Tamandua tetradactyla: one gene and its partners. The protein of the gene in region 4 interacts with the protein of the main gene of each other region in a pairwise test. Links are inferred from orthologs where the notes say so. Each region holds a gene or a part of one and is shown on either strand. Other genes may lie near its edges. The genes, in order: CEP70, BYSL, LUZP4 and EMD.

Region 1 (7,910 bases), on a different chromosome or scaffold from region 4:
GGATTTATTTCTTAAATCTGTCTAGAGTTCATTTCAAGTATTATAGCAAACGGGAGCTGGAAGAGACCTAAGAGATCCTCTTGGTCCCAAGTTTCTCAAATGGAGGTTCAAGAGGCCCCAAGGGTATGAGGCAGCAGGTCAGGGAATACATAAAACTCCAAGATAAAGATAAACATGATGCATCTTCTGGAAGCATCAATGTTACACAATGGTAACCAATTTAAAATTCAATCATTATTTTAATTTTAGAAGGCTATATTATGGTGGAATATATTTTAAATTTTTTCCTTTTTTAAAGATAACTTGGAAGAAACGTTGAGTTTGCAGGTAACAGCCAGGGATATGCTAGTTCACTTTCTGAGTGTGAAAGGCATAGGCCCATGCAATCCACTTAATTACCGGTGCCAATAATGAATCTACAAGTTATGTGGCTAGCAAGGCCCAGGACAGAACTGGAGCCCAATATTCATGTGCAATTAACTAAACAGTAATTGAATTGCAGTGCTAATTGTGTTTTGCTAAAATCAGATGCACACACATATGTGGACAAGAAACCTTCCATGTTTGAAGATTTGGGATTAACAGTTCCACCCCTACAATAGGTTCAACTCTTCTTTGCTTCCCAGGTCTGCCCCTAGCCCAGCTCTCTCCTTAAGCGCCTTGCAAAAGTTGCCCAAGGAATCTCTTGGTTAAAAATGAGATTATGCAAATTGTCTTTGGTTGGAAACTGCTAGAAGCAACCAGTTGTTAAAAACATATTAAAGAAGCAGCAATTTAAAAGGCATAGAAAGGCTAAGAATTTTTAAAAGAACATGAGGTAGATTAAAAACACTGTACCTAAAATAAATCCCTCTTTTTCTTATTACCATGGTACAAATTTGTGGATTTATCTAGTTTTAAGAAACCCTACATATCTCTACGAAAAGTGGAGGGTGTCCTATAATGATAAAAGCAAGGAGAATATATAGCAATAGAGTAAGCCAAGCAAATTAATGTAAATTTTGATAAGGCATCCTTTGTAAATCAAAGTAGGCTTGGAGATATCATTCAAGTTTTCCTCTACAACTTTCAAAGACACTAGAAAGTTCAGTGATGCGGCATACAAACCTAAAAGAATTGCCCAGCTTTCCACTATAAGACACTTCAAATATTACTAAATCACACTAAGATATGGCATGGTACCATCCTAATTATAATAACTTTTCATATAGATGTATAAAAGATAACATGCAATCAAATTGGAAGTAAGATTAGAAATCAAGAACACATTTTTAAAAAAAGTTTTCCCTAAACTATCAACATATTGAAGTTATTTATCTAAAAGATAGTAATTTTTCATTTTCCAATAATTGCTAGTGGACACTATAGGTGAGAACTACATGCAATGGTCAGAGGAAAGGTTGGTGGAATCCAACGCTGCTTAGAATACTGTATATATCAAAAGCAATGTTCTTCTTACACACACATTCACAGGAAAATTACACAATTATGTTACTCTCCTTGCTTGTTTTTCTATAGACCCATTTAAATAAGAAAAGGTTGCTTTAATGTAGCCAGTAATATTTCAATTTTTCTTGTTCATGTTATCTGCTATTTTAAGAAAAAGACTAAAATATTTTCATAATTATTCCTGAGAACCTTAATAGCATATTTGGCTTATAAAAGGCAGCAGTCATGGGCAAGCAGTGGTGGCTCAGTGGCAGGGTTCTCGCCTGCCATGCCGGAGACCTGGGTTTGATTCCCGGTACCAGCCCATGCAAAAAAAAAAAATCACTAAAAGGCAGCAATGCTCCAAATTTTGTACCATTTCAAGGGCAGAGATTGGCTGAAAAAAAGTGATTTCTATACAAGGATTAAAGTGAGCACTATTTTACAACAGCCACAATCAAAATATTAGTTACACAATTTTCAGCTTTACAAGAAAAAAAAAAAAAAACTCTATGAGATCATCTACTCCCAGCCCGCTCCCTCATTATGGGAAAATCAAAGTAATAAGACATCCCTCCAAATGTCACCCCCAACCACAGAGACCTAGCTTTTACTATTTATCCAGCTCCCTAACAAGGCTGTTGAGGTCCCAATAATGTGTATGGAGCAAAAAAAATGTCCACATAATCTCACCATAAAGAATATCCGAATATCCCCTACCAATAAATTTCATTAATTGTATGGGGAAAATGTACAAAATGAACTCTGCCTTTTGCTTTTGGTCTTCTCTCTTATTGCAGAAGTTTTGCTGGTTTTGTGACCTCTGTCACTTCACATATTTCATTTCAAACTGTATATATATCCTCTAAAATACTGAGCACTTTTAAATTTACTTGGAATTGCTCCACTGGATCATAAGTAGGGGAGCCCATGTACAACACATTCTTAATAGCCATAAAGGTAAATGATTAAAAGACTGATGTGTTTTTTGGCTACTCAAATGAGGGGGAAAATTAAAAATCATTGGTCAGCATCAAATGCATATAAAAGAATGCGGTGAGTCTTTTAGTGAAACTTGAGATAAAATTGAGATTTAGGCTAAAGGTCTGAAACAAAGTAAATGTGAATAATATGAATATGAATAATTATTCCAAAACCTCAACAGGCACTAAAGCACAGAGATCAATATTTACTTAGATTTTAAAATACTTTGAGCCATCTACTGAGTTTTCATTTTTGAGAGTGTCTTCAGAAAAAAAGGTACCTTAAATCCTCTATAACTGGCAACTTCTCTGGATGGCCTGCATGAATCAATACATGAATAACTATCTACCTGAGCAAAATATAATCCACTCATTCAAAAATAGTTACTAAATGCCTACTTAGTGTCCTGAAAGCACTGCAAAGCCAACCAACCACACCCTTTAAAAAACGGTTTTGTATGATTTGAAGGAGCAGCTATGCTCTGCCTATTTACTCAAGGGAGGTGTACTTTCACAACCAGTTTCCTTACAGTAAATATCCAGTATTCAGTTTTTCCCAGTCAACAAACATTTATTTGAGCCCACTATTAAAAAACACTATACTAGGTGCTGTCAGTGATTTGAAAATAAGCCTCTGTCCCTAACGAATGTATTCGCTTCAATTAGTTTTCAGTCACCACAAGGACCAGATGCCCTGCCCTGAAGTTTGCTGAATGTGATTATTATACCTATAGGGAAGGGATGATCACAACTCTCCTTGTCCTTGATTTCTACTATAGTCATATGAATATTGAGAAATACCTATTAAAAGTTGCACAAAGAGTTGTGAGTTACAAATCCGATTTAAAAGCACAGGTCATATTTTAAATTCATCCAGCATAGTGATAGTTATTGGACATTTATGTCCTAGGCACGGAGCTCAGAGGAAACAGACGCAGGCTCTGGGAAACCAACGGAGGATCACAAGAAGGAGCCTACAGAAGGTTCTATTCCAGCCAAACCTGCAGGACAGCCAGGGTAGGCTTTGGTTTAAAACTAGGGGAAATGGATTAATCCACTATCATTTTTTAGCTCGTATTCATATGCTTAATTTTCAGGTATGTGACCAAATAGGAAAATTATAAACCACAATTTCCCCCTCTATTTTAGGAAACAGATTTAAAAACATATATGAAGAGGATGGAAAAACAAATTGCTTTCACTGATGGGGAAGATGTTACTTGAAACTTTTCATATGTCTTCAAAGAAAGCTTTTTCAATGTCTACTTACCCATCTGCATAATTTTAAAAAATCCCTTTCCTGCATAACCCAATACCCCTGTTTTGGAGCAGCATTTCAACCACTGAGCCGTTTCCACTGCTTATCCACCCTACCCTGAATTTTACCTTGACTTAGGTTTAACTGTACTGGGGCTGCAGTGGTTTGTCCAAGATAAACCTAAGGCAGTTAAAAAAAAAAGTCACTGATAAAAATGTTCAGTTCCCTTTTCAGGAACAGCTCCGGGTAAGGCCAGTTAGTCACGAGGGGATGCTCAGTGATTTTTCATTCTGAGAAAACTAAGGCCCTCCAACCAAGCCGGCCGCAAGCTCCTTGGACCAGGTATTCCCAAATGCTACCAGATGTGCAGATCCGGGAATATTTTTTTCTTAGGGCCATTTTGCAATGTACGCCTTAAGATTTATGACGGAGTCATTCTAAATAAATAATCATGCTATAAATTAAACAAAAAGCAGGGAACAGTGCTCAACGAACTGCTTTTCTTTTCCTTTTTTTTAATAGCTGAAAATGGAAAAACACCTGTTCGTTCACCCTCAGCGACTCCATTAGGGAGGCCGCGGGCCAGTCCCTCCACAAACCCGACGGCCCCGGGCGGGCCGCGGCGTCCAGCTGGCCCCCACGAGCGCCCAGCAGCACCCCCGTGAAAGGGTGCGGAGAGCAGTCACACCAGGGTGGCCGTGCGCCATGCAGCGGTGAGAGAAGCCACCCAGGTTCTGCAAGAACAAACTGCTCAGCTGACGGGGAAAACGCGCTGCAAGGAAAAGCCCCTTAAGGTCTACCGCGTCGCCGCGGGGAAGCAGGAGTTCCGCCGCGGAGCTTGTCCCCTGAGCTGTCCGCTCCACTCTTTCACGGCGACAAGCATCAAAGTCTGAGCTAAGAGGCCAGAGGCTGGGCCGGCCCCGGGCAGGGCCACTCGGGCAGGGCCGGCCTCGCCGCGCCTCCGCCCCCAGGGAGCGGGCAGCCGGGGGCGCCCGGGGCCTCGGCGGGGCTGACCCAGGGCGCCCGGACACTCCACGCGGCCCGCGCCTCTCCGGCAGGGGCTCGCCGGCCCCCGCGTGGACGACGCCTGCTGCTCCGGGATACCCGCCCGCCGCCGGGCCCTGGCCGCCGCCGCAGCGGACCCGCCCGGGTCTGGGGCCCGCTCCCCGCCCGGCTCACCTGACGCCGTGGGCTGCGCCGAGCACCGCGGTGGGTCCGACAGCGCCGCTTGGGCCGCGCGGCCTCCTCCCTCGCCGAGCACTAGACGCAGCGCGCGCCCAGGCCGAAAGCTCGGCGGACGGTGAGTCCCAAAGGCGCCGACCGTTTGTCGCGCTCCAGGTCCCCCGGGACGCGCAGCGCAGACCGCCCCCTCCGCCCCGCGCGACCGCCCGCGCCCCCACCCCCGGCTTCGCCCTCCCGGCACAGGCCCTTCTCCAGTCCCCAACCCAAACAGGGCCCGGGTCCGCAGCGAATCCAGTCGGCCTGCCAACAGGTAGTGCAGGAGCCAGCCGTGTGCCAGGCCTGAGCGGGACCCTGGGCTGCCTCTGGGGCAAAACAGACCCGCCAGGGCTGTCAGGTTTCCCTTTAAGGCAGGGAAACCCGATCCTGGATGGAATTCGCTCCTTAAAACCTTTTTATGGACCCCTGTTGTTTCTTCAGTTTAAAAGCCGAAACTACTTAAGGTGGACTTGTGCGAGCTAGCTCATGCCCACGTGGCTTCTAAAGATCCTCAAAAGCTGCTCCATCCTTGTCACCCCAGGGTCTCCGCAGCTGCTCTTCACTCTGCCGGGACGCTCCTCCCCGTCTCTTTCCCCGCTTAACTTCCATTTTGTTGCGATTCCTCTAAAGATGTAATTTCTTAAGAAAATCTATCCCAGCCCCTAAAACTTGCAGTACTTGGAATTCTTCCTAGTCCCTTTCAGGGTATACCTGTTTGTGTAATTTCTGCTTAATGTGTGACTTAATGATAGACAGTGGCGTCGATGAGGATAGAGAGCATGGCTGCTTGGCTCTCACACGTGGTTGCCCCCACCTGCACAGGGGAGGGTCATGGTAGGCTCTGCTAAATACTTGCTGCATGAATGAACAGCAGGCCTGGGTGAGGTTTTAGGTGGCCCTGATTTTCATTTTAATAAGGAGACAGTGTCACTTGTAGAGGGTGAGGAGAGTTGTTGAGTGGGCCACCAGAAAGGAGCAGTGGAGATTTGGAGTGGGCCCTGTGGAGAGTGGGTCCAGCATGCGACTGGACATGCATGAAGGGATTCTGAAGGTCCAGCCATCTGGGGGGCTTGTGGTCGCAGGGCCCCATTGTAAGTTCTCACAGCCTGAGGTTAATGGAGAGGATTGTTTCACCTTTGGGACTGTCATGGTGGATGTGGTTTATATAGGTGCCAAGCAAATAGGTGAGAGAAGGGGGAGTTGAGTGACAGGAGGGATCCACCAATTGGTTCGATTAGCCAGTTTGCAAAGTAATGACTAAATTCTTAAGCAAATTTTTATAGGGATTCTACTTGGCCAGCGCTGATTTCTCCTTTGCTACCCTGTATTAATGACTGAGGACTAAAACTTTTCATATTTGTATTTTCTCTTTGAATAGAGAATTTTCAAGAAATGATTGTTTAAAGAATGAATTGGGGGGAAAGATAAAAAGATCACAGAGTGGAAATTTCCAGAGATGGATCAAGGCTGCCGAAGACATATTTCTAATTTCTCTTTTCCTAATCATTAACTCTTCTGAGAAACAACCCTGAGTCGTTGGGCTAAGACTAGGAAACCCTGGTCACTGACCAGCTCAGATATTGTTTAATGAAGGGTCATATTTTCTTATAAAACCTGAGGAATCTGGGTATCTTTTTTTGGGATGGGGGTGGGACCGTATGGTCCGGGATTTGAACCAGGGTCTCCCACCTGGAAGGCAAGCATTTTACAGCTGAACCACCCATGCACCCCATGAATCTGGGTGTCTTTTATAAGACCTATAGGTGCATTAAGCGCTTGATATATGTGCCTTGTATATCATTGTTTCTAATTTTCACAACAGCCCTCTAATATGTTTACCCCCATTTTACAGAGCACCCCCAAAGCCCTTCACAAGTTTCAGGACCAGGCCTATGGGATTTGAAAAGTTCAGGTTTACAGGGCCTGTTATTAGTTAAGTATTTATTGCACTGGAAGAAAAATACTAGTCTGTGGAGTGCAGGAGAGTTCAGCTTACCTGTGTAGGTGCACCTGAGTCTGCACCAACAGTCAGAAAGGCAGGCTGTGAGTCCTCAGCGGGTTTGTTTTGTGCCACTGTTTCCTCTTTGGGTTTGGTTTCTGGGATACCTGGAATTGGAGGAACATACCACTTTTGGCTGAGTTTTCCCCTACTCATTCTCTGGGCTGAGGACATCTGAATTAGGAACAGTCACTGGCTACCTGTCACAACTGTAATGGAAAGAAAGCCTGAACAAAACCACTGTGAAAGTTTTGAACTTGAATAAGAAATTTATTCATTTAGGCTAATCCTGCATTTGACTTTATTCTTACTCTCTGATTGTGCTTTTTTGTTCCCCAGGAAGATGCTACTCGAACCTCATACATGGTGCCCCCCCAGCTTGCCCTTAGGACACCGCTAATTTAAGAGGGCAGCTGAAAAAACACTTTCACTCACAGTTGCCCTTGTTTTCACTGGGCCTCCTTTTGTAAAAGAAATGGTTAATGCAGTGACAGATTTTCTGAACTAACTTCTCAGCATTAATGGATACCCCCCCAAAAAGAAAAGTTGCATACATCTTTACCTATAAATTTTTCCATGGGCCCTTCCAGTCCTGGTCCAGCATAACTACTGGGCATGTGTTAAAGGAGGAGGATCAGTGCTTTAGAAACCAACCCAGGACCCAGATATTCTGGCTGCTGGGCCAGCCTCAGAGGGTCGCGTGTCAGAACCAGCGCCAGAAACTGTGGTCTCCTGCTGCTGGCCGGGCTGCTGCTGCTCAGACATCGTCCTGAGTACAGGGAGTCCCTGCTCAGTCTACACAAACAGAAAGTAAAGCAGCAGCACAGCCAGGCCTCAATGTGGAGCTTCAGACACGAAAACCTGGACAACACCAGGAGAGACCAGATTTTGATCTGTTATCTTGAAAGTGGGATTTGTAAGGAGGACAATTCAGACTCATGTTCCAATTGAACAAAACTATTTTTTTAAATCGTCTTTATTTTATTCTGAGAAACATTAAAGATACCAAAAAAATACGGAGACT
Region 2 (7,575 bases), on a different chromosome or scaffold from region 4:
ATATAAATTTTGTGCCAACTAAGCATCTCACCCTCTAGTTTCACACAGATGTTGAAGTTTTAAAATATGGATGATATCATCCTTTACCCTGTATTCTGATATACCTTAGTCCTACCCAGATCAGCTTCACTCATATCTCTACTCAAAGTATGATCAATTTTTCAGCTTTTCAAACAGTTCCCACGTGGGGTACTACTGACTTTCAAAGCTTCAGAGCTCTAACTTTGTGACTCAATGTTTACTGCTCTTTCCATTCTATCTCACAACCTGCCACAAATGTCCTCTATCTCCCCAAATAGACTGTAATTTCCTTAAAAATAAGGGTCCAATCAGCAAAACAGGGGCCATACCAGGTAGATTAACTAGAAGTAGTATGCCACCTTATATCTATAAGCAAATGTCTTATTTTCCAAATGCTTTCATAACTATTATCGCTTTTGATTCTTATATATTTCCAGTTGAAGGCAAAACAAACATTGCAATTCCACCACTGATGAAAGCCTGTACAGCTATCAGCTCCAATTTATTAAATGACAACCTCAGTTGAAAGTGTTTTGCATATATTAACTTATTTAATTGCTACAATAATACTAGGAGATAAGTACTTTAACTGTCTTCATTTTATACATTAGAAGAATCCAAGACATATTGGGAAGATCCAAAAACAAAGACCACAATAGGTAGTTTCAACAGAGGGAATTTATCATAGGGAACAAAATACAGGGATTGGAAGGACCGAAAAAGTAAAAAGTATGGTATGGCAACCCAGAGAACAGCAATACAGGAAGCCACAACCATCTATGGGCTGCAGGGAAAATGAGAAGATGTGCTGTTACTAGCCAGGAAGTGGGGTTACCTAGCAGAAGCTAGAGCCAAGGAGACATGGTTAGGGCCAGGGACACCGTCCAAAGCATAAGGAAAGGAAGGCAAATACTTGTGGTCTCCCTTTCTGCAATCTTCTTCCTGTGCCTTAGACTGCAGGAGATGTCAGGGAATGAATCTACAAGGAAATAGGCAAATCACTGGAATAGGAACAGCCACAGATGGGTTATGGGACTTATTTAAAGTTGTACATTTATTAAGTGGCAGAGTTGGGACTTAGGGGCCTGGTTCCACAACCCTACTTTTAGTAGCCGGGTTGTGAAATCATCTAAGAATGTATATATTTAGCAAGTTACCGCTAGGGCCAAAACTAAGAAAACTCAGGTTCCCTAACTCATATTCAAAGATCCTCTTTCCCTCCCTGCCAGCACAATTACCATCCACACTCCAGTCAATGTGATACATTTAAGACAAAAGCTGATTCATTGGTCAATGTCAATGTTACACTAATATGGCCAAAGCCACTGGCTAGGTGAGGGAAACAGAAAGCCTTTAGGCAGAAAGTACAAAAAGAAAAAATTATAAAGACTTCTGAGCCTAAAAAAAGGGATCTTTTTCAAATTTTTAAGTGGATAAGGTTCATTTGGGGAACAAGTAACCCAGGTGATGCTGATGCAATTGGTCAATGATCAATTCTTTAAAAGAAACAATGTTTTAAAAGTTCCCAAAAAGAAAACAAAATAGCTCCAGTCTAACAGATGAAGAAACAACAACTTAAAGAATTCAGAAACACAACTAGATCAGAAAGACTTTAGTGAACATGAATGTCCATCAACGCCAAGCCAGGTTGCAGCCATCCTACAGTGCAATCCCACTGACCTTGGCTGCCAAGGGTGGAAGCCGCCGTATGGTAGGTCTCACAGTCCACACAAAATGTTCCTTGTTTCTCTGCTCCAAGCATCTCCAATTTCCGGGTGAGGAGCTCCACAGTCTGCTGGACACTCTTGCCCTCAGCCACAGGCATCTGGGACACACTGGAAGGAAAAGGACCAAATCATTAGCATCCAGAAACACACATGCACTAGTATAGCCATTCAACAAGCCAACTGCTCACTCACAGCATCACAAGTCATCAGGAGTTACTTTAGAGACCACTCCACTCACGTGACTCTTAATTTTAAAGATGAAGAAACAGAGGCCCACAGTCTCTGAGAGTTCCTCTAGGAACTACAGCACAGGTTTCAGGACTCATGTACCAGTACAGTGAACTTCCCATCACACCAACATCTACTGATGTTAACTGTGCCATCATGCAAGAGATGTTAGGCTGAGTATTCAATAACACTGAATCACATAAAACAAGAGATTCCCTTAGTAATTTTTTTCAGTTCTAAATATATCAAGGAGAAAGTCTCAATTTGATTTAGTACTTTTTTCTTTTTTTTTTTTTTTACATGGGCAGGCACCAGGAATCGAACCCGGGTCCTCTGGCATGGCAGGCAAGCATCCTTGCCTGCTGAGCCACCGTGGCCAGCCCGATTTAGTACATTTTTACTAACTCTAACACTTTCAACTTATGTTCTTCAGTAGAGTAACAATTAGCCACATCTGGCTATTTAAATTAATAAAACAAATTAAATGAAATATTCAGCTCCTCAGTAGCACTGCCCAGATTTCAGGGGATCAATAGCCACAAGTGCATAGTGGAAAATGTTGATATGGAAAATTTCTATCATCTCAGAAAGTTCTATTTGACAGCCTTGAACAAACAGAAAGCAGAGTTCAAATTTATAATCTTTGGGAGTGGGAGGCAGTGGCATCTACAAGAATTTAATAATGCAGGAAAACGAAACATGTTATTTCCAAGATTTCCTTCTACTTGAGGGTGAGTGAAACTGGCTTCCCCTTTAGAGTAATAGATAACAAGTACCTACCATGTGCCAGACAGTGTACTTCAGGTGAATTAACTCTAAAATGGGGACTTCAGATGAATTAACTCTTCCAGTCCTCACAACAACCCTATAAGAGGTGTTATTATTTATCTCCTTGCTGCAAATGAGTAAACTGAGGTACAGAGAGGTTAACTAATGAGCCCAAGGTCAGACATTCTCTCTAAGGATGTAGTTGCCTGTTAAATAACATTTAAAGGAATAAACTTAAAAGAAAACATTAGTACCTAATAGTATAGCTGGTAACTAGCTATGGCAAAAATCATGAAGACAATCATATGCCTGTACTTTGGTAGACAATGCATTACTTTATGATCAATCGATTAAACGAAGCTAATAAGTTAGAGTCCTACTGCCGCTAAAAATTGTCACTACTATCTCTCAGAAAAAGCACGGTTATATAATAGTGATGTGACTTAATTTTACACAGAAGAGGATCCTAAAAACTAATGCTACAAGGATAAGTTCTAAGATTCTGAAAAAGTTGGAAAAAGATAGAAAGCACAACAGATAGAAAGGCCTTTCTCTCTGGATGCTTTCTCTTTTGAAAGACCAGGGGTTTCCAGGATTTCAAGCCTCTGTGCTGTGAACTTTTTATTCCCATCACTCACATATCTCCCTAACACCAGAGGACTCGAAGATCCTCTCGAAGGTCTACCGTGAGAAGCTAGGGCACAATCAGACAATCCTGTAAGAGCCTGAGTTACAAGAAAAAGCATTTCCCACAGGTTGTTATATGAGAAGTCAAGAGCCACTAACTTCGGATATCCCAGTCCCCAGTTCTCTCTGACAGGAAAGATGTGCACACCTGAAGACATTTTTTTTTAATGTCCTGAAACCTAACATTTTGTAACTAACACCTCCAAAATATTAGACCCACGCCTTTCCCTATCACCTTGCCTTCTTCCAACTGTGGCTTATAACATGTTAGAGAGAGAAAGCCCATAGAAAGTAGAACCTTGTAATTTAACATAGCAGGAAACAGGTCCTGTGAAGAGGTGAAGCAACTGCAACTCCATCTCCTAATTTCTAATAGTTTATTTTATATAATGGCCAATGTAGAACCAAACACTTTTTGTGGCTGTAGGGAGGGGCAAGAGAGACCTAAAAAAAAAAAAAAAAAGGCATTCTACTCGTTGCCTGACCACCACTTTCTTCAGCCCTGCTTGCGGACGGGTCCTGGTGCGGATATCCTATCCCCAAAGCTGAAGTACTCCTAGCAGTACCATAACATAAGGTGCAGGAAAATGTACGAAGAAAAAAGGAAAGGAGGTACACAACCACTGATAGGCTCCTAGGATTAAAAACTCCTACCTGCCCCCCCCCCCCCCAAAAAAAATCTTACCTGCTGCCTTCCAGGAGAAAGGAGCTTATCTCCGAAGAAACAGACCCCGAGAACCTGCAACCTTCGCGGGATCCCCTCACCCATATAACCCAGGGGCATTTTGTTCAGTTCCCTCAGGGTGTCGGAGAACCCCGGTCCCGCTACACCTCTCGGTCCAGTCAGGCTCCAAGGGCAACTTCATGATCCCAAAACCCGTCTCACAAAATCCCAAGTGGTCTGTGCAGTCTTACCAAGTCACTCCCATGGTGTCGGATGAGAGGGTGGCAGATTCAAACAGCTGAAACGCGGTGCTCTCCGACCGCCCACATTAAATGAAGCCCCCAAAAGTAAGCTTCGGTCGAGGGAGAAGGCACCGGAAGTTATATAAAAACAAAGCGTCCCATGGATGCGCCAGGAGGGTACAGAGACGTGCTTGGGCGCTCTCACCGTGACGTATGCAGAGACGTCACGCAGCCCAGTGACAGCTTCAGGCTTGGAAGTATGGACGTCCTATTTGGCTGGATACCCAGACTTGGATCTGCGATGCTTGGAAAGCATGGTTCGAACTGCCACCACTTACAGCAGTCATCGTTAAATGCAAAGAATTTATTCAGGATTTGAATTTATTCAGGGCCCGTGCGAACTTTTAGGGAGTGGAGTTGGGTGTCGCTGACGGCATTTCTGTCCTCCAATCACTCGGGGGCGCTGTGCTCTCCGCGCGGCCTGGTAGGCTTTGGAAGTTCACTGCACAAGCGCACTCTCGGCTGCTCGCCTCTGTCCCCACGTGTGAAGGTTCGCGGCCACTTTTTCGAGAAAAATGCCCAAATTCAAGGCGGCCCGGGGAGCCGGGGGTCAAGGAAAACTTGCGCCCCTGGCCGAGCAGATCCTAGCTGGGGACGCAGTGCGGGCCGGGACCCGGGAAAAGCGGCGGAGCCGCGGCACCGGAGAAGAGGAAGAGTATGTGGGGCCCCGACTGACCCGACGAATTTTGCAGCAAGCGAGGCAGCAGCAGGAGGAGCTGGAGGCCGAGCATGGCGCTGGGGAAAGGCCCATGGGGCCGAGGGAGCGCACCGCGCGGCTGGGTGAGCGGCCGGGAATGGGGTGCGAGGGAGAGAGTGGATACTTGGATGAATGGCTGAAAGGTGTCCGTCAGGGGAGAAGCTTGGAGTTTTGAAAAAAGTGCCCATATTACGCTCTTTAGAAAGTAATGGGATGGGAGACCGAGCCCTGAAGCGGATTTAAGGTGGTCCAACCCCACCTCAACCCACCCCTGCCCACTCCTAGTTTTAGGCAGTAAGATTCTAGGGGTCCTAGGCGCCCCTAAAATTAGGCCAGCGGGATGTGATCGCTCATTATCCATTAAATTGTCCTGGTATTTATCCACTTGCTCCATAAGTGTTTATAAGGAAGTTTGGATAATTTGGGTACAGAAACGAACAAGTTTGACACTGTCCTTTCCCCTAAAGCCAATCTGACCTCTCTACTACTTTCTGCGCTTGCTCTCTCCACTCCACCCCACCCAGCCATATAGCTTCATTGTTCCTTGAAGTTGGCAGATTAGGGCCTTTTCCCTGGTTGTTCTCTCTGCCTAGCATGTTCAGTTCCTATACACCTGCAGGCTTACTTGCTTAATTCTTCACCTTTTCAAAGAGGACTTTTCTGACCACTCTATTTAAAATTCCAGTACCCACATTCCAGTTTCAACAGTCCTAGCAGCGCTCCTTTGTCTCATTTTTTTTTTCCATTCCAGTTGTCTTCTTTTGACCCAGTGTATTGATTTGTTATGTTTATTTATGATCTGTGTCCCCCAGTTAAAATGTACCAGAGATTCTACGAGGACAGAAATTTGTTTCTCTTGTTCACTGATGTATTCCCAGTATCCTGAACAGTGCCCTACATATAGGAGGCATCAATGTTTGCTGAATGAATTGATTAAAGAAGGATGGTGAGGTACATAGGAGCTTTTGTAGACCTGGAGGCCATACCAAGATTTAAAGCTATCTAACATTGATCAGACCAAATGTGTGGTTCCAGAAGTTTAGATTGGCTGTAGAGTAGAGAATTTGTTGAAAGAAAGCAAGGTCAGTAGCATGGAGACTAGTTAAGGGATTGGTGAATGAATCTAGCAAGAAATGATGCTGGTCTAGGTTTAGAAAGGGCTGTGAAGGATTTGAGAGATACTCCATGAGGTAGAATCGAATAGGACTTCGTAATTGATTGGGTTTGCAGGCTGAGAATATGGACAAGGCAGGGCTGGGAGGTAGTCACCACAGTAAGTGGTGCAGTCTTGGGGAAAAGAATGAGTTCACTTGGTGACAGATGAAGTGCCTGGGTCATCTAAGGAGGGTACAGGAGAAGCCTGGAGTTAGCATCTGGATCTAAGAAGAAAGTATGGATTTGGAAGTTGTTGACATGTGAGAACAAAATATTTGTGTATTCCCCCTCCCCCCACCCTAATTTTAGTTCTTTCATCACACAATGCTCTGTTCTTAATGATCTGTTCCTATGTAGTATTTTCTCTCCTCGATTGGATTAGTACCCCTCCTCCCAGATGCCCACCAACCTCTAGTCTTCAAAAAATCAGTTACTCAAATTGGTTGTTGGATTGAAATAACTCCACTGCCTCACCTCTTAAGACTCTCCACAGTCTGGCTTCAATTTACCATTGTAGCCCTATTTCTTGCCACTACCTAACACAATCGAATCAGTCCCACGTTGCCAGGAAGGTCCACACCCCTGGGATTCATGTCCCACGCAGAGAGGGGGAGGGTGGTGAGACTGCTCGTCATGTTGGCTGGAGGGAGAGGCCACATCTGAGCAACAAAAGAGGCTCTCTTGGGGGTGACTCTTAGGCCTAAATTTTAAGTAGACTTGACCTATCCTTTGTGTGGGGTTAAGTTTCATATGAACAAACCCCAAGACTGGGGGCTCAGGCTACAGCTTTGGTTGTCCACACTGCTTGTGAGAAGATCAAAAATTCGACTTGGGGAGGTTGAATTTCTCCCTGCTCTCACCATTCCCCGAAGGGGGCTTGAAAATACTTTTCCACTCACTGATCAAATCACTCTGGGATTCATCGGGGCATCACTCTGGACAAACCAACAAAATCTCACATCCTACCTGAGATTCCAAGTACTTATGACGTTCAATCAAACTATCTACATAAGTTATATTAGGAAATGCTCTAGTCAAGATATAAATTTTGTAACAAATAAACATTTTTTGCTTTAGTCTCACACGTAAAGTGACATTTTAAAATATTAATTACCATCTATTTTCAGCACCCTGCAATAATGACATTCCTTTATTCTTCCTCATGCAAAAACATTTTTAAAATTTGTACATTGTACATTTCACTATTGTTATACACTCTAGGCATTCCTAGATTATACTATCTCAATCTTTAACATCTATCTTTCTTTCTGATTTCATTTATGTCCCCAGCCCTCCTCCCTCTATCATTTCCACATGCAGCTTCAT
Region 3 (7,375 bases), about 47 Mb from region 4:
TTGCTTGATTCCTTTTCAAGATTTCTATCTCTTTATTGATATTCTCTTTGTGTTCATCTTTGTTTTCCTGAATTCATTTATTTCTTGGCCTATGTTTTCCTTCAGTTGCTTGATAATATTTAGGACCACTTTTTTTTACATTTTTTATTGTATAATATAATATATATACAAAACAAAGAAAGAAAAAAGCAATACTTTTCAAAGCACTCTTCAACGAGTTATTACAGGATGAATCCCAGAGTTTATCATGGGTTACCATATGATCCTCTCAGATTTTTCCTTCTAGCTGTTCCATAATATAGGAGGCTAGAAGGAATAAATATTTTTTTATCATCACAATTGCTTTTTTTCTTTTTTGTGAAAAATAACATATATACAAAAAAGCAATAACTTTCAAAGCATAACACAATAATTAGTTTTAATACATATTTCAGAGTTTGATATGGGTTACAATTCCACAATTTAAGCTTTTTACTTCTAGCTGCTCTAAAATATTGGAAACTCAAAGAGATATCAACTTAATGATTTAGCAGTCATATTCATTTATTAAATCCTAACTTCTCTGTATAACTCTAGCATCACCTTTGATCTCTCTATTCCTCTCTTTAGTGGTGTTTGGGAATATGCCCATTCTAACTTTTTCACATTGAAAGGGTCTGTCAGTAATATGGGCTAGGCAGATGGAACTATCTGATGTTCTGGAGAGGCTGGGCTAAGTTTCAGGACATATCTGGACAAGCGACCCATCTGGAGGTTGTAGGTTTCTGCAAAGTTCCTCTAGTGCATGGAACCCTTTTGGAATCTTATATATTGCCCTAGGTGTTCTTTAGGATTGGCTGGAATGGTCCTGGGTGGAGTTTGGCAGGTTATGATAGGTAGCAAGGTCTAACTAAAGCTTGTTTAAGAGCAACCTCCAGAGTATACTCTCAACTCTATTTCAACTCTCTCTGCCACTGGTTCCTTATTAGTTACATTTCTTTTCCTCCTTTTGGTCAGGATGGAATTGTTGATTCCACAGTGCCAAGGCTGGACTCATCCCTGGGAGTCACCTCCCACTCTGCCAGGGAGACTTTCATCCCTGGGTGTCATGTCCCACATAGTTAAGATCATTTTTTAAAATGTGTTTCTGTTATGGCTAAAAGCCTGTCATTCTGTGTTAATGGGTTCTGATATGTCATCTTGTTTCTTTTAATGAGCTTCCATTTCCTGCTTCTTTTTGTGCCTTGTGATCTTTTCACATACAGTTCACTTTAATATGTTAATGTGTTACTCTGAAATTTATTTTCTGAGCTATTTATCCTTAAGTGTATTCCAGCTAATGATATGACAGAGATTTCCTTGAATGCCAGAAACTAACAAAAGCAAAAAAATCAAATACAAAAAAACCTTTTAGAGTTTTGCAAATTGGCTTGATTTGGGCTGGTGCTCTCCTTTCCTGCTTAATTCTCCTACCAATTAACCTGGTAATAAGCTGCAGGGGAAAGTACAGGGTCCTGTCTTGATTCTTCTGTGTTTATTTCTTGCCTGGGGTATGTGCTGGTAGTCTTAGGACTTCCCCTATTTACAGGTATCTTAATGCGCCTTCTTATTGCTATTAAATGGACTTTCCAAGCCCCGGGTTTCTGTTGTATGCCTTAAAGCTGAAAATCTTTTTCCCAGAAAATAGTAATTTTATTTTTCTTTGGATTATTTTTTACACAGATTTCGCTGTCTATAAGCTGCTTCTGCATGCAGGGCAAGTTCTGGGATTGCAGGCCAGAGATGAGTGCCTTGCTTTAGCGTCAGTCCCCATGCTGCCACGAGCTAAACAGGCATAGACATATGGAACCCCAGTATGCACATAGGGATTACTCTGCTCCCTTAAGATCAGGACCAGGGACCTAACTGAGAGAAGGCAGCTCTCCACTTAGCTGGGGAGAAGTGAGGGCCTAGCAAGGGCACCAGAAGTTTTTCCTACTGATTTTCTTGTCTTTTTTTTTTTTAATTAGGTGCTTTCCAAGTTACAGCAACTCTTTAAATGTTTTCCAGAAATCTGAGGAAGATGGCTTTGCCAGTTTTTGCTAGTTATTCTTAGATTCTGTGGGGTAATGAAACCCTGGAATGTCTCACACCAGCACATTCATCCTATTTTGATTGTTATTTCCTCTGACAGACCAATGACAACCATAGGATTCCTCTAACATTTTAAAATAATATATATTGAGCAGTATTGACATGATAATCAGAACAATTCCATTTTTCTTAAGAAATGCCATGGACACATGTTAAGGGAAGTCATTAAAATCTTGTGGCACACTGGTCTGGGCACCATTGGATCAACAATGCCATCGTGACCAAAAGGGGGAAAAGAAGTGTAACAAATAAGGTAACAGTGGCTGAGAGAGTTCAGATAGAGTCGAGAGGCTACACTGAACATCACTCTGACATATGCTTCAGTTAGACATTGCTACCTATTGTAACTTGTCAAACCCCAACAAAACCATTCCTGCCAATCTTAAAGAATACCTAGAGCATTACATAAGATCCTACAAAGGTTCCATGCACTAGGGTAACTCTCCAAAGCCTACAACCTCCAGAAGGGTCCCTGGACCAAATAAGTCCTGAAATGCAGAGGGACCAGACTTTCCAGAACATCAACTAGTTCCATCCCCCTATCACATAGTACTGACAGCTCCTTCTAGCATGAAAACGTTAGAATGGTATAGTCCAAATACCCCTAAAGAGTTATAGAAAGATCAGAGGTGGTGTGGAGTTACACAGAGAAGGTCAGGTATAACAAATGAGTATGATGCTCTAGTACCTTAGAGCAACTAGAGATAAAAACCTAAAATCGTGTAATTGTAAACCCATACCAAGCTCTGAAATTTGTTCTACAATTAATAGTTGTGATGTACTTTCAAATTTATTGCTTCAATGTATATATGTTATTTAAAGAGAAGGAGGAGTATAACAGAGAAGATAGGATTTAACAAATGAGTGTGACTGCTGAATCATTATATTGATATTTCTGTTGGTCTCCAGTGTCTTGAAAAGCTAGAAGAAAAAAGAAAAATCATGGAACTGTAACCCATACCATACCTTAAAATCTGTTCTATGACTACCTGTTAAAATGTACTCGGAAAGTTACCGCTTTTTTGTATATATGTTATATTTCACAATAACAAAAAACACAATTTAAAATATACACATATGGTTAAGTCCTGAAATGCAGAGAGGCCAGCCTTTCCAGAACACCAACTTGTTATATCCCCCTATTCCATATTATCAACAGCCCCTTCCAACATGAAAAAGTTAGAATAGGAATGGCCCAAATACCCCCAAAGAGTGGGAGAAGGATCAAAGATGATGGTGGAGTCATACAGAGAAGGTCAGGTTTAACATATGAGTGCTGAATCATCATGCTGATATTTCTTTTAGCCTCCAATACCTTAGAACAGCTAGAAATAAAAACCTTAAACTGTGAAATTGTAATCTATGCCAAAATCTGAAATCTGTTCTACTAGTTGTTGCAATGTACTTTGAAATTTATTTCTTTTATGTATATATGTTATTTAAAGAGAAAGAGGGGTATTACCCAGAGAATAGGATTTAACAAATCAGTATGACTGCGGAATCATTATTTTGATATTTATGTTGGTCTCCAGTGTCTCAGAGCAGCTAGAAGAAAAAAAAAGAAAGAAAAATCATGGAATGGTAACACATACCAAACCATAAAATCTGTACTATAACTACTGGTTAAAACGTACTTGGAAATTGATTGATTTCTTACATATATGTTATATTTCACAAATTAAAAAAATGTTGGTTTTTTTTTTTTTTTTTTTTTTAATAATATATAGGCAGGCACCGGGAATTGAACCCGGGTCCTCTTGCATGGCAGGCAAACATTCTTGCCTGCTGAGCCACCGTGGCCCGCCTGTGGATGTAACCTATTTGCTAAATTTGTGTTAGCCCTTCCAGTGTGCGATGCAACCCAGTAAGTCAACAACATAGTGGTTTATGCTCCAGGAATGGCAAAAGCAAAGAGAAGAAATGGTTCCTTCTAAGAACTATGGAAATTTAGGGTCAACATATCCAGAAAAAAACAAACTTGTGGCTGGCTGAGAGGTGCTTGTACATGAGAAGAGAAAGTTTTATAAAGGATGAAAAAGAGATAGGTGGGTCTTTTTATTTATTTGTTTGTTTGTTTGTTTTACTGGAGTGCCAACTTCCGGACAGGAGAACCCGTAAATGGTATATGCCTAGCTCCACCCCTTGGGGCCATAGCAACAGTAAAGAGCGAGGATTGTGATTGGGGGAAAGCCTGGATAAAAACCTTGGGAGCAGTTAGGGGGCGCTAAGTAAGCCCTAGCTTCGGGCGTGGGGCAGTTGTCCTGAGGAGATGGCTTCGTTTTCGAGCGGAAAACTTTCTGGAAAGGTGCTGATAGATCCCAAAACTGGGAAGAAGATGAACTTTCTAGATATGTCTCTAGGTAAGTAGATCCTAAAGCCCCACTGTGTTAATCTAGGCTTGCCGCCCTTGAGCGGTATACCTCAGCATAGGGCGGGCTAGAAGTGTCGCCACGAGGGGCACACACGCTAACTGAAAGGCTTTTGCGTTGGCTGAGGAGCTTTTGCGTCTGCATTCCCCCGCCAGTCCTAGCTAAACCCCGGGCCACCTCGACCCCCGGTCTCTCCTCTCAGCAGCTATTTTCCATGCACCTGCAGGGGACTGCGGAGAGGGCAGTGGGGAGAATAATGAGACGGTCGTTTCAAAATGTATTAGCTTGGGCGGGCCATGGTCTCTCAGCAGGTAGGAATGCTTGCCTGTGATGCCAGAGGACCCGGGTTCGATTCCCGGTGCCTGCCCATGTTTAAAAAAATATATATATATATATATATATATAAATTCTCTCAAGAATTGATACCGAACTTCCCGCCCTCTTCAGACAAGCGGGGTCACAAGCTCTGTTCTTCTCAGTCAAAGCATAAATTATAAATATCTAGATTAGGAACAGGAGGAGAGGTTAGTTTGCGGGGATCTCCAGTGATCCTGAGAGTAGCATGCTTGCAGACTACAGGCGAAGTAGTGTGTTTTCTGTCAGTTATTCCGTCTGGACCTGTCTTTGCTAGAGCCCTTTAATGTTTTACCTCAGACTTCTATACCAATAGTGGGTCCTTAGCAAAAATAATAATAATAATAATAAAGAAAGAAAGAAAGAAAGAAAAAAAAAAAAGAAAAAAAGTCACACAAGGTCCCTAACCCCCACAACTCGCACCACACTCAGAAAATGTATATATATATATTTTTTACTTGAGCCAATATCGCCTTTCTCTCATGCCAGCTCAGAAATGTGTGCCCAGGATGTAGGGACAGTAGATAAATGAGGGAGGGGAGGGAGCAGAACGGGGAAGAAGAAACTAGAATTGAGGGGCAAGAGCAAAAGGGACTTTAGACGTGAGAGGGGCTGGAGCAGAGTCGTGAGGGAAGGAAAAGCAGGAAGGGTGAACCTTAGAAATGAGAAGAGTTTGGAAAGCAGTGATAGTATACCAGAGAAATGAACGTGTTGAGGTACGAAAACGACAAGGGCAGAGCTTAGAAATGGAGGGGGGAGCAGAGCACGTGGCGATGAACAGGAAGTGTGTCCATTAGAAATGGGGTGGAGCTGAGACGGTAATGCTGGGACATTAGAAATGGGGCGGAGCTGAGAAGGTAATGCTGGGACATTAGAAATGGGGCGGAGCTGAGAAGGTAATGCTGGGACATTAGAAATGGGGCGGAGCTGAGAAGGTAATGCTGGGACATTAGAAATGGGGCGGAGCTGAGACGGTAATGCTGGGACATTAGAAATGGGGCGGAGCTGAGAAGGTAATGCTGGGACATTAGAAATGGGGCGGAGCTGAGAAGGTAATGCTGGGACATTAGAAATGGGGCGGAGCTGAGACGGTAATGCTGGGACATTAGAAATGGGGCGGAGCTGAGACGGTAATGCTGGGACATTAGAAATGGGGCGGAGCTGAGAAGGTAATGCTGGGACATTAGAAATGGGGCGGAGCTGAGAAGGTAATGCTGGGACATTAGAAATGGGGCGGAGCTGAGACGGCAATGCTGGGACATTAGAAATGGGGCGGAGCTGAGAAGGCAATGCTGGGACATTAGAAATGGGGCGGAGCTGAGAAGGCAATGCTGGGACATTAGAAATGGGGCGGAGCTGAGACGGCAATGCTGGGACATTAGAAATGGGGCGGAGCTGACAAGGCAATGCTGGGACATTAGAAATGGGGCGGAGCTGACAAGGCAATGCTGGGACATTAGAAATGGGGCGGAGCTGACAAGGCAATGCTGGGACATTAGAAATGGGGCGGAGCTGACAAGGCAATGCTGGGACATTAGAAATGGGGCGGAGCTGACAAGGCAATGCTGGGACATTAGAAATGGGGCGGCGCTGACAAGGCAATGCTGGGACATTAGAAATGGGGCGGAGCTGACAAGGCAATGCTGGGACATTAGAAATGGGGCGGCGCTGACAAGGCAATGCTGGGACATTAGAAATGGGGCGGCGCTGAGAAGGCAATGCTGGGACATTAGAAATGGGGCGGAGCTGACAAGGCAATGCTGGGACATTAGAAATGGGGCGGAGCTGACAAGGCAATGCTGGGACATTAGAAATGGGGCGGAGCTGAGACGGCAATGCTGGGACATTAGAAATGGGGCGGAGCTGAGACGGCAATGCTGGGACATTAGAAATGGGGCGGCGCTGAGACGGCAATGCTGGGACATTAGAAATGGGGCGGAGCTGACAAGGCAATGCTGGGACATTAGAAATGCGGCGGAGCTGAGACGGCAATGCTGGGACATTAGAAATGGGGCGGAGCTGAGACGGCAATGCTGGGACATTAGAAATGGGGCGGCGCTGAGACGGCAATGCTGGGACATTAGAAATGGGGCGGAGCTGACAAGGCAATGCTGGGACATTAGAAATGCGGCGGAGCTGAGACGGCAATGCTGGGACATTAGAAATGGGGCGGAGCTGAGACGGCAATGCTGGGACATTAGAAATGGGGCGGAGCTGAGAAGGCAATGCTGGGACATTAGAAATGGGGCGGAGCTGAGAAGGTAATGCTGGGACATTAGAAATGGGGCGGAGCTGAGACGGTAATGCTGGGACATTAGAAATGGGGCGGAGCTGAGACGGTAATGCTGGGACATTAGAAATGGGGCGGAGCTGAGAAGGTAATGCTGGGACATTAGAAATGGGGCGGAGCTGAGAAGGTAATGCTGGGACATTAGAAATGGGGCGGAGCTGAGACGGCAATGCTGGGACATTAGAAATGGGGCGGAGCTGAGAAGGCAATGCTGGGACATTAGAAATGGGGCGGAGCTGAGAAGGCAATG
Region 4 (6,451 bases):
CAGGCAAACAAACAGACATAGCCATGGGTAGCATCTGATCCCTTTGCCCAACGACAAAAGCAAGACAGCAAAGCCAAGAAAGGCAGATACGGAGCCTTCAGACCCCAGATCCAGACACCCTGTGCCCTGGGAATCCCGACACATTGCCGACCCACTCCCCCAAGCAGGAAAAGCCAATGCCTTCAAAATAAACGGTCTTTTTATTGTGTGTCCACGAAAACAAAGTTGGGGTGGCCTCTGGTGACTCCTCCACAGTGGTGACATGAACAGGACGCATGCATGAAAACAACAGCTATGTGCTCCTTGGAAGGAACAGCGGCAGGTCCTGCCAGGGCCCCACAGGTTCAAGGCAAACAGGGCCAGGAGACCCCGCTGGGCCCAGCAAGTGAGGAAGGCCTGAGCCTGCCACCTCCCCAGCAGGATGAGGCAGAAGGGGGAGGGGACCAAAGCACTGATCTGGGCCAGGCCTAGCTCCCCAAAAGATAGAAACACACAGGTAAGCTCCCACCCCCCACCCCCACCCCCACCCCCACCAAAACACTGCTAAGGCAGTTGAGCCAGGTCTTCTGAGAAGAGCTGGCCAGGAAACCAGGCCCTCAGGGCTCCATCCAAAAGGGGTTGCCCTCTTCGGCCTGCATTGAGTAGTAAACGAACACCAGGAAGGCAGCAAAGACCAAGAAAAGGAGCAGCTGGCCCCAAAGCGGGACCTGGCGCTCCTGCCCCAACCCTGCCCCAGGGGCCTGCTTTTCGGGCCGGATGGCCCGGCGGGTCAGCCACGAAGGTGGGGAAGAGGAGGAAGAGGAGGCTGAGGAGGTGGAGGAGGATGTAGGGTAATAGGACGGGCCCAGGGAGTTCCTGCCCATGTTCGAAAGCGGGCGGTAGTGCGCGATGCTCTGGTACGCGCTGTCCCGGGCGTACGAGGGGCACTCCCTGAGGCAGAGAGGGGCACAGGTAAGCCAGGCTGGACCCGGCCCAGGATTGGCTCCCGCCCCTGCCCCCTGCGCCCAGCCTTCCCTCCTGGGGCGCTCCCCGCTGCTCACCTCTCCTTGCTCTCCTCTTCAGAAGAGGAGAAATGGTTGTCATCCTGCACCTGGAAGAGATAGTCAAGGTGAGGGGCAGAGCTGGCCAGCCTGCTCTAACCGCTGCTTCAAGGTTAAGGGCCCTAAGCCCTCCAAGACCTCTCTGGGCTTTGCCACTTGCTCAGTGACTGTCCTGGCTGCCTCTGTTCCCCAGGACTGAGAACCAGCTCAAACCCAGAGCCCAGACCAGGGTGCAGGTGTGCACTGGCTGGGGCGGGGTCTGGTCCACCAGTGTCAACACCCCTGCCCCCACCCCCCAACCAGGGCACTGCTTGGCCCCCACTCCTCCTGGGACGCCAGGGAACTGGGAAGGAGCCCCCCATGTCCACCCCCTGACCCCATGGCTTTATCCAGTTCTGCCCAAGTTCTGGCTCACCTGTTGGTGAAAGGTGTCGGCATCCTGGAGTGAGGTTCGGGGCTCCCGGAAGCCCTCGGATGTGCCCCCGGAACTAGACTCCCCATAAGTCTCGGTACTCAGGTAACTCTCCTCATAGTAGTCGTCGTTGTAGCCTTGAGGAGAGGCAGGGGGTGGGTAGCACAGGCTCCGTCAGTAGCCCCCCCATCCGGCTGGTGGCCCTCACCTGAATTCTGCACTTTGGGGGTGACACTAATCTCTCCCCTCCAGGGCCGGGTGGGAACTGAGATCTCAGGCCCTCCTAAGACCAGAGTCCACGGCAGAGTGGGGCGAGGGTCTCAGGGTGCCCCCTCCCCAGCACCCCCCCAGCACCCCTCCCTGCCTTACCCTTGCTCTGGTACAGCAAGTCATCCTCTTTCTTGGGCAGGTCGTACATATCCGAGTCCACCGAGGCTGAATCCAGGTCTGGGGACCGAGGGGGCAGGGACCGAGGGGACATCTGAGCTCAGGTCTCCCCGCCCCCAGGCGCAGGTGGCCCTCCTGGCCCGGACCCTGGCTTCCCGGCCGCCCCAGCCGGGTCCCCTCCGGTGGCAAGGGGCCCTGGGTGGTCTGGGATTGGGGGGAGGGGAGGAAAGGGCTCACCCGAGAAGCGATACGAGAACGACGAGGAGGAGGAGGAGTTCGGGGGCGAGAGTCGGCGCCTCTGGGTTTCGTACTCGAAGATTTTCTTCTCGTAGAGCTTGCGGGTGGAGCCTGGGCACAGACAGAGCCCGGGGCGCGTCAGTGGCACAGGGAGGCCACCCTCCCGCCCGCAGCCCGCCCGCCCGCCCGCAGGCAGCGTACCCACGATGGGCCCGTGCGGGATGTTGTACTGGCGCAGCACGGCCACCAGCTCGGCGTCCGACAGAACCGCGTAGTCGTCCATGGCGAGGCCGGCCCTGGGCCTCGGGCGGGCGGCGGCGACGGCGGCGGAGGCCTGGGAGGCAGGCCGGGCTGGGGGACGCGGACTGGCAACGGTAGCCTGGGAGCGCGGCGACGGGTGCGAGGCAACCGCTCGACCACGTCACGACCGCGTCTCCGCGGCCCAGGCCTGCGCGCTGCCGGGTGGGGGGCGGGGGGTCGGGAGCGAGGCGCGGGGGCGCAGCCGGCGCAGACCGGTCTGGAAGTGGGGGCGGGCGGCGCCGGGGCGGGAGAGCCGGGCCCGAACGTGAGAGCGGGCGGGGCCGGCAGGCGGTGACTTCACAAACGAGAGGGTACGGGCTGCGCGCGGGAGGGGGCGGGGCCTGCGTGGGCGCCGAAGCGGCGCGTTCGGACCTGGACGTGGGGGCGGGGCGGGGCTGAGGAGCGCAGACGTCACTAGCTGGTATGTTCGGGCTAGAAGCGGAAGTGGGGCGGGGCCTCCGCGGGAGCCGAAACCCCGCCGACCGGCCGGGACGTGGGAGTGGGGCGGGGCTGGCGAGCCAAGACGTCACACCCTGGCGTGCCCGGGCTAGACGTGGGAGAGGGGCGGGGCCTGCGCGGGAACCAGAGCGGTGCAGGCCAGGGTGTATCAGGGAGGGCGGTGCGACTGCGCGCCCGAGGGAGGGGCGGAGCCTGCGAACAAAGACGTCACACGCTGGTGTGTACGGGCAGACATGGGAGCGGGGCGGGGCGTGCTCGGGAGCCCAACCGGCGGAAACCGGTCAGGCTAGCGGGGCAGGGCGGCGCGCTGGAAGTGGCTCGTGCGCCCTGAGTCACGTGGGCAGAGGCGCCTCAGTCCCTCCGCCCTGGTCACTGTCCCCTTCCCCAGGCTTCGGGATAAAGGGGCTCCTCAGGCCCGGAGATACTTGGAGAGCCCCGGCTCCGGGCAGGGCTTGTTCCCGGGCGCTCTGCACGCGGCAAGCGAGGGAAGCCACCGCCAGCTAGGGCCGCGACTCTAAGGCCCGCCACCTCCTAGACCCCTGTCCCCTCCCTGGCCCACGCACCTGTGCCCGTCCCGCACTCACCACCTCCCTCCCGCCTGCGCTCGCAGGAAAGGGGGCACTGGGCCAGGAGGCCGCAGGCATTCCAGGGACAACCAGCCTTCCAAGGGGCCCGGGCCGGCTAGCACTCACTGGCACGGGACGCTGACATGACGCGTGCTGGGACAGCGTGTGCCCGCCACCCCACCTGCCGGCCTTCCCCGAGGGAGGGGGGGGCTTCCTCTCCTGTGGGAATGGCCCTTGAGCTGAGTGGGACAGAGGTGGCCTAGCAGGGCCCCCCGCGGAGGGGGTTGGCTCTCGAGTCAGATGGACCTGTCAGAGGGGTCTGAGCCCGCTGCAGGGACAATGGCAGGACGGGTGGCCAAAGGAGGGGTGTGGATGGCGTGCAAACCGCAGAAGCCTGCCGAGGCCTGCTGAGGTTACACGGAGTGTGGCTGGGAGGAGATAAAGACCTTGCTCGGAAAGAGACTGTCCGCTGGAGTGTGGGGAGGGGCTGGCAGTCCTCTTCTAAACAAAGCCGGCCTAATGGGGTGTGGGGCAAACTGGGGTGCACCCCGGGGAGCCCGGAGAGAAGAGTCACCTGCCCTACTGGATGACCCGTCTTGGCTGCAGATAAAGAGGGAGGGCTCCAGGCAGACCCAGGCTGGTCTGCCCAGCCGTGGGGGCCACAGACTGGTTCTGGATGGAGGTTTACCCAGTGGGGGTGGGGACTGAACCACAGACAGAGACCCTTCTGAAGAGTCACCGTGGCCCAGGGTTGAAAAGACAAGGTCCGTCCTGGCCCTGCCCTGTCTCCTGCTGCATGGAGGGGAGGCAAGCGGGTCTGTGACAACACCGTTCTCTGCAGAAGGAGGAGATGCTAGCCCTAGAACAGGGGGCCTGCTCCTGATCCCTCAGCAGAGCAGAGGAGGGGAGGGTGATCTGGGCTCCAGGCTGGGCATAGTTTCGTGTTTTGGCAAGATCAGATGCCCCAGCACCTCCGAGAACCTTCTTTTGCAATGCTGGCCCCTCTCCCAGAGGCCCGCGTGTACAGAGCCGTTCTGGCCGCTCTGTCCTCCCCCCCTCGCCGCCCCTCCCCACGCGGATCCAAGCTGTTTCCTTTTGCGGTCAAGGAATTCTAGGTTTGCCTTCTCCCCAAGGAACACAGTCCCCCATCCCACCCCCGGCACCTGCCCCAGCACTCTTTTGTGCCCCCTCCCCATAAGGTCTCACCGCAGATGACTCCAGGAGGCTGAACTGTGGGCGGTCCCCCTGTGCCCACCCAGTGGGCACCTGGAGCCCACGTCCAGTCCCATTGCCAGTGCAGCTCCACCCCAGACCACCAGTAACTAGGTGAAGCCTTGACCATCAGAGTTAACAGGCCCTCTGCAACATCCCCCACCCCCACACTATATAGTGGAGAATCAGGGGCCCAGAGAGGGGAAGAGACTTTCACTCTTGAAAGTTATAGGCAATGAAACATATCTACTGGAATACATTTCTCAGCATCCATGTACAGGGAGGCAGTCATTCATTGAGCTATAAACAATGTTTTCTTTAAAATCAGAATGTTGTTCAACATGAAAAGAGACGAGCCTTAACTTTTCTCTTCAGGCTATTCAAGATCCTTTGGGTTTTAGCTGCTTTTCGAATCCCTTGACACATCGCTCAGATGGTGTACGAAGTCATGCGATGAGGATTGTGGTGAAAAATAATGCGTCGATGATTGTCACAATCGCTATAAAACTTTGAATGGAGAGCTGCCCATTCAAAGCATTGTGTCTGGGCCCTAGGACGCATCAGCTCATCTTAATGCTCTGGGGATGGCTGGGTGGAGAGGCAGCTTGCCCTGGCGGTTAGGAATGGTGATTCGGGTGCTTTCCCTGTCTCTTCCACGCCATGGCTTTCATTGATTATGATCTTCACCAGGGAACAGCTAGTGCTGTACAACCCATTCCACCCAGACTTGGAACAGGTCGAGATGCCGAAGAGCTGCATGTGTTTGCAGTGTGGGCTTGGGGAAGGGGGTGTGAGTGTAAAGAGGGAGTTCCAGTGGAGGTGGGAGTCTGGAGACTCCACAGAGCCACCCCTGCGCCCCTTCCAGCAATGGCACTCCTAGCCTGGTTGGCACCTGCTTTTGGCCTGTGGGTGTCCCTCCCCAATGGACTGACACGGCCATGAGTCCCAGTAGCCCCCTTCTGGACCTGGGGATCTCTGAGCTCATCTTCACTCCTAGTGAAGTTGCCCCACTGCCATGACCCCACCCCAGCCCGGGCACTGTGGGTCCAGCTGCAAAAGAAAAGTCTTATTTTCTGAAAATGTGTTTCAGTTCTTTAGTGTGTGCGCGCGCTGGTTCAGGATGTAAAACGGAATCCTTATGGGATGGTGGGCGATGTGGTAAAAAGACAGCGCTTTATGTGGACTTCCTAAGAGAAAGTGGCGTTTGATGTGGAACCGCACCTTGGAGGCAATGGGCATGGAGAAAAGGAAGGTGTGGCAGGTCTGTGCCCGCCCAGCTCACGGACCCTTGGCTCTTGGCTGCACCCTCCTGCGCTCTCCCAAGCTCTGGGACTGTGTCTAACGGGCCCTCTGCAGGAGGGGACTGCTGAGAAGTCCGTGGGTTTCCGCTGCACGCCCCTAGGTCAGCCTGGCACCCAACAGGGGTCAAGCACATGGTGGCTGTTAAGACTGCCCCCTCCATTCAGCTCTGCCCCAGGCCTTTCATCTAGTAGATGCTCAGTGGACACCTGCCCCTGCCTTTGACCTACCCCGTCCCCTACTTCTTCCCTCCCAGGGCAACAGAAACCGATTTGCTTTCCCAGCCCGGGCTGGAGCAGAGGATGGTGGGTGCAGAGGGCCCTGACTCTGGGGAGTGGGGGTGGGCTTCCTGGAGGAGGTGGCCTTGGAGCTGGGCCTTTCTGCCTGGGGAGCCCTTGGCTCCCCCAAACGCAGCAAGCCGATGTCTAAAGGGCTGGGCTGAGACGTGGGCCCTGCAGACCCCGCGGGAGCTCGAAGCAAGCACCCACCCCCACCCCCCCTCCCCCAGCGCTGGCGGCCCTAGCCGGGTGGTGAGCTCA

The links.
Region 1: the proteins of EMD (region 4) and CEP70 interact in binary tests that used the Homo sapiens proteins (3 or more experiments, as listed by UniProt). The two-hybrid records come from large-scale screens. The link is inferred for Tamandua tetradactyla from reciprocal best matches to the Homo sapiens genes EMD and CEP70.
Region 2: the proteins of EMD (region 4) and BYSL interact in binary tests that used the Homo sapiens proteins (3 or more experiments, as listed by UniProt). The two-hybrid records come from large-scale screens. The link is inferred for Tamandua tetradactyla from reciprocal best matches to the Homo sapiens genes EMD and BYSL.
Region 3: the proteins of EMD (region 4) and LUZP4 interact in binary tests that used the Homo sapiens proteins (3 or more experiments, as listed by UniProt). The two-hybrid records come from large-scale screens. The link is inferred for Tamandua tetradactyla from reciprocal best matches to the Homo sapiens genes EMD and LUZP4.

Annotation. Positions count from the first base shown.
Region 1 is NC_135341.1:82,637,416-82,645,325, reverse strand, and holds the start of CEP70 (centrosomal protein of 70 kDa), read left to right. Parts: upstream 1-4,888; 5' UTR 4,889-4,969; intron 4,970-6,883; exon of another isoform or gene 6,884-6,993; intron 6,994-7,910.
Region 2 is NC_135331.1:99,516,761-99,524,335, forward strand, and holds the start of BYSL (bystin), read left to right. Parts: upstream 1-4,563; 5' UTR 4,564-4,912; coding exon 4,913-5,177; intron 5,178-7,575. Other genes in the region: MED20 (mediator of RNA polymerase II transcription subunit 20), read right to left, coding at 1,702-1,856, 4,347-4,360. UniProt on the Homo sapiens protein: Required for processing of 20S pre-rRNA precursor and biogenesis of 40S ribosomal subunits. May be required for trophinin-dependent regulation of cell adhesion during implantation of human embryos.
Region 3 is NC_135353.1:53,552,807-53,560,181, reverse strand, and holds the start of LUZP4 (leucine zipper protein 4), read left to right. Parts: upstream 1-4,353; 5' UTR 4,354-4,381; coding exon 4,382-4,472; intron 4,473-7,375. UniProt on the Homo sapiens protein: Export adapter involved in mRNA nuclear export in cancer cells. Binds and enhances the RNA-binding activity of the nuclear RNA export factor NXF1. Can restore mRNA export function in cells compromised by loss of mRNA export adapters.
Region 4 is NC_135353.1:6,569,371-6,575,821, forward strand, and holds EMD (emerin), read right to left. Parts: upstream 2,522-6,451; 5' UTR 2,360-2,521; coding exon 2,278-2,359; intron 2,188-2,277; coding exon 2,077-2,187; intron 1,900-2,076; coding exon 1,822-1,899; intron 1,590-1,821; coding exon 1,456-1,589; intron 1,091-1,455; coding exon 1,041-1,090; intron 931-1,040; coding exon 597-930; 3' UTR 523-596; downstream 1-522. UniProt on the Homo sapiens protein: Stabilizes and promotes the formation of a nuclear actin cortical network. Stimulates actin polymerization in vitro by binding and stabilizing the pointed end of growing filaments. Inhibits beta-catenin activity by preventing its accumulation in the nucleus.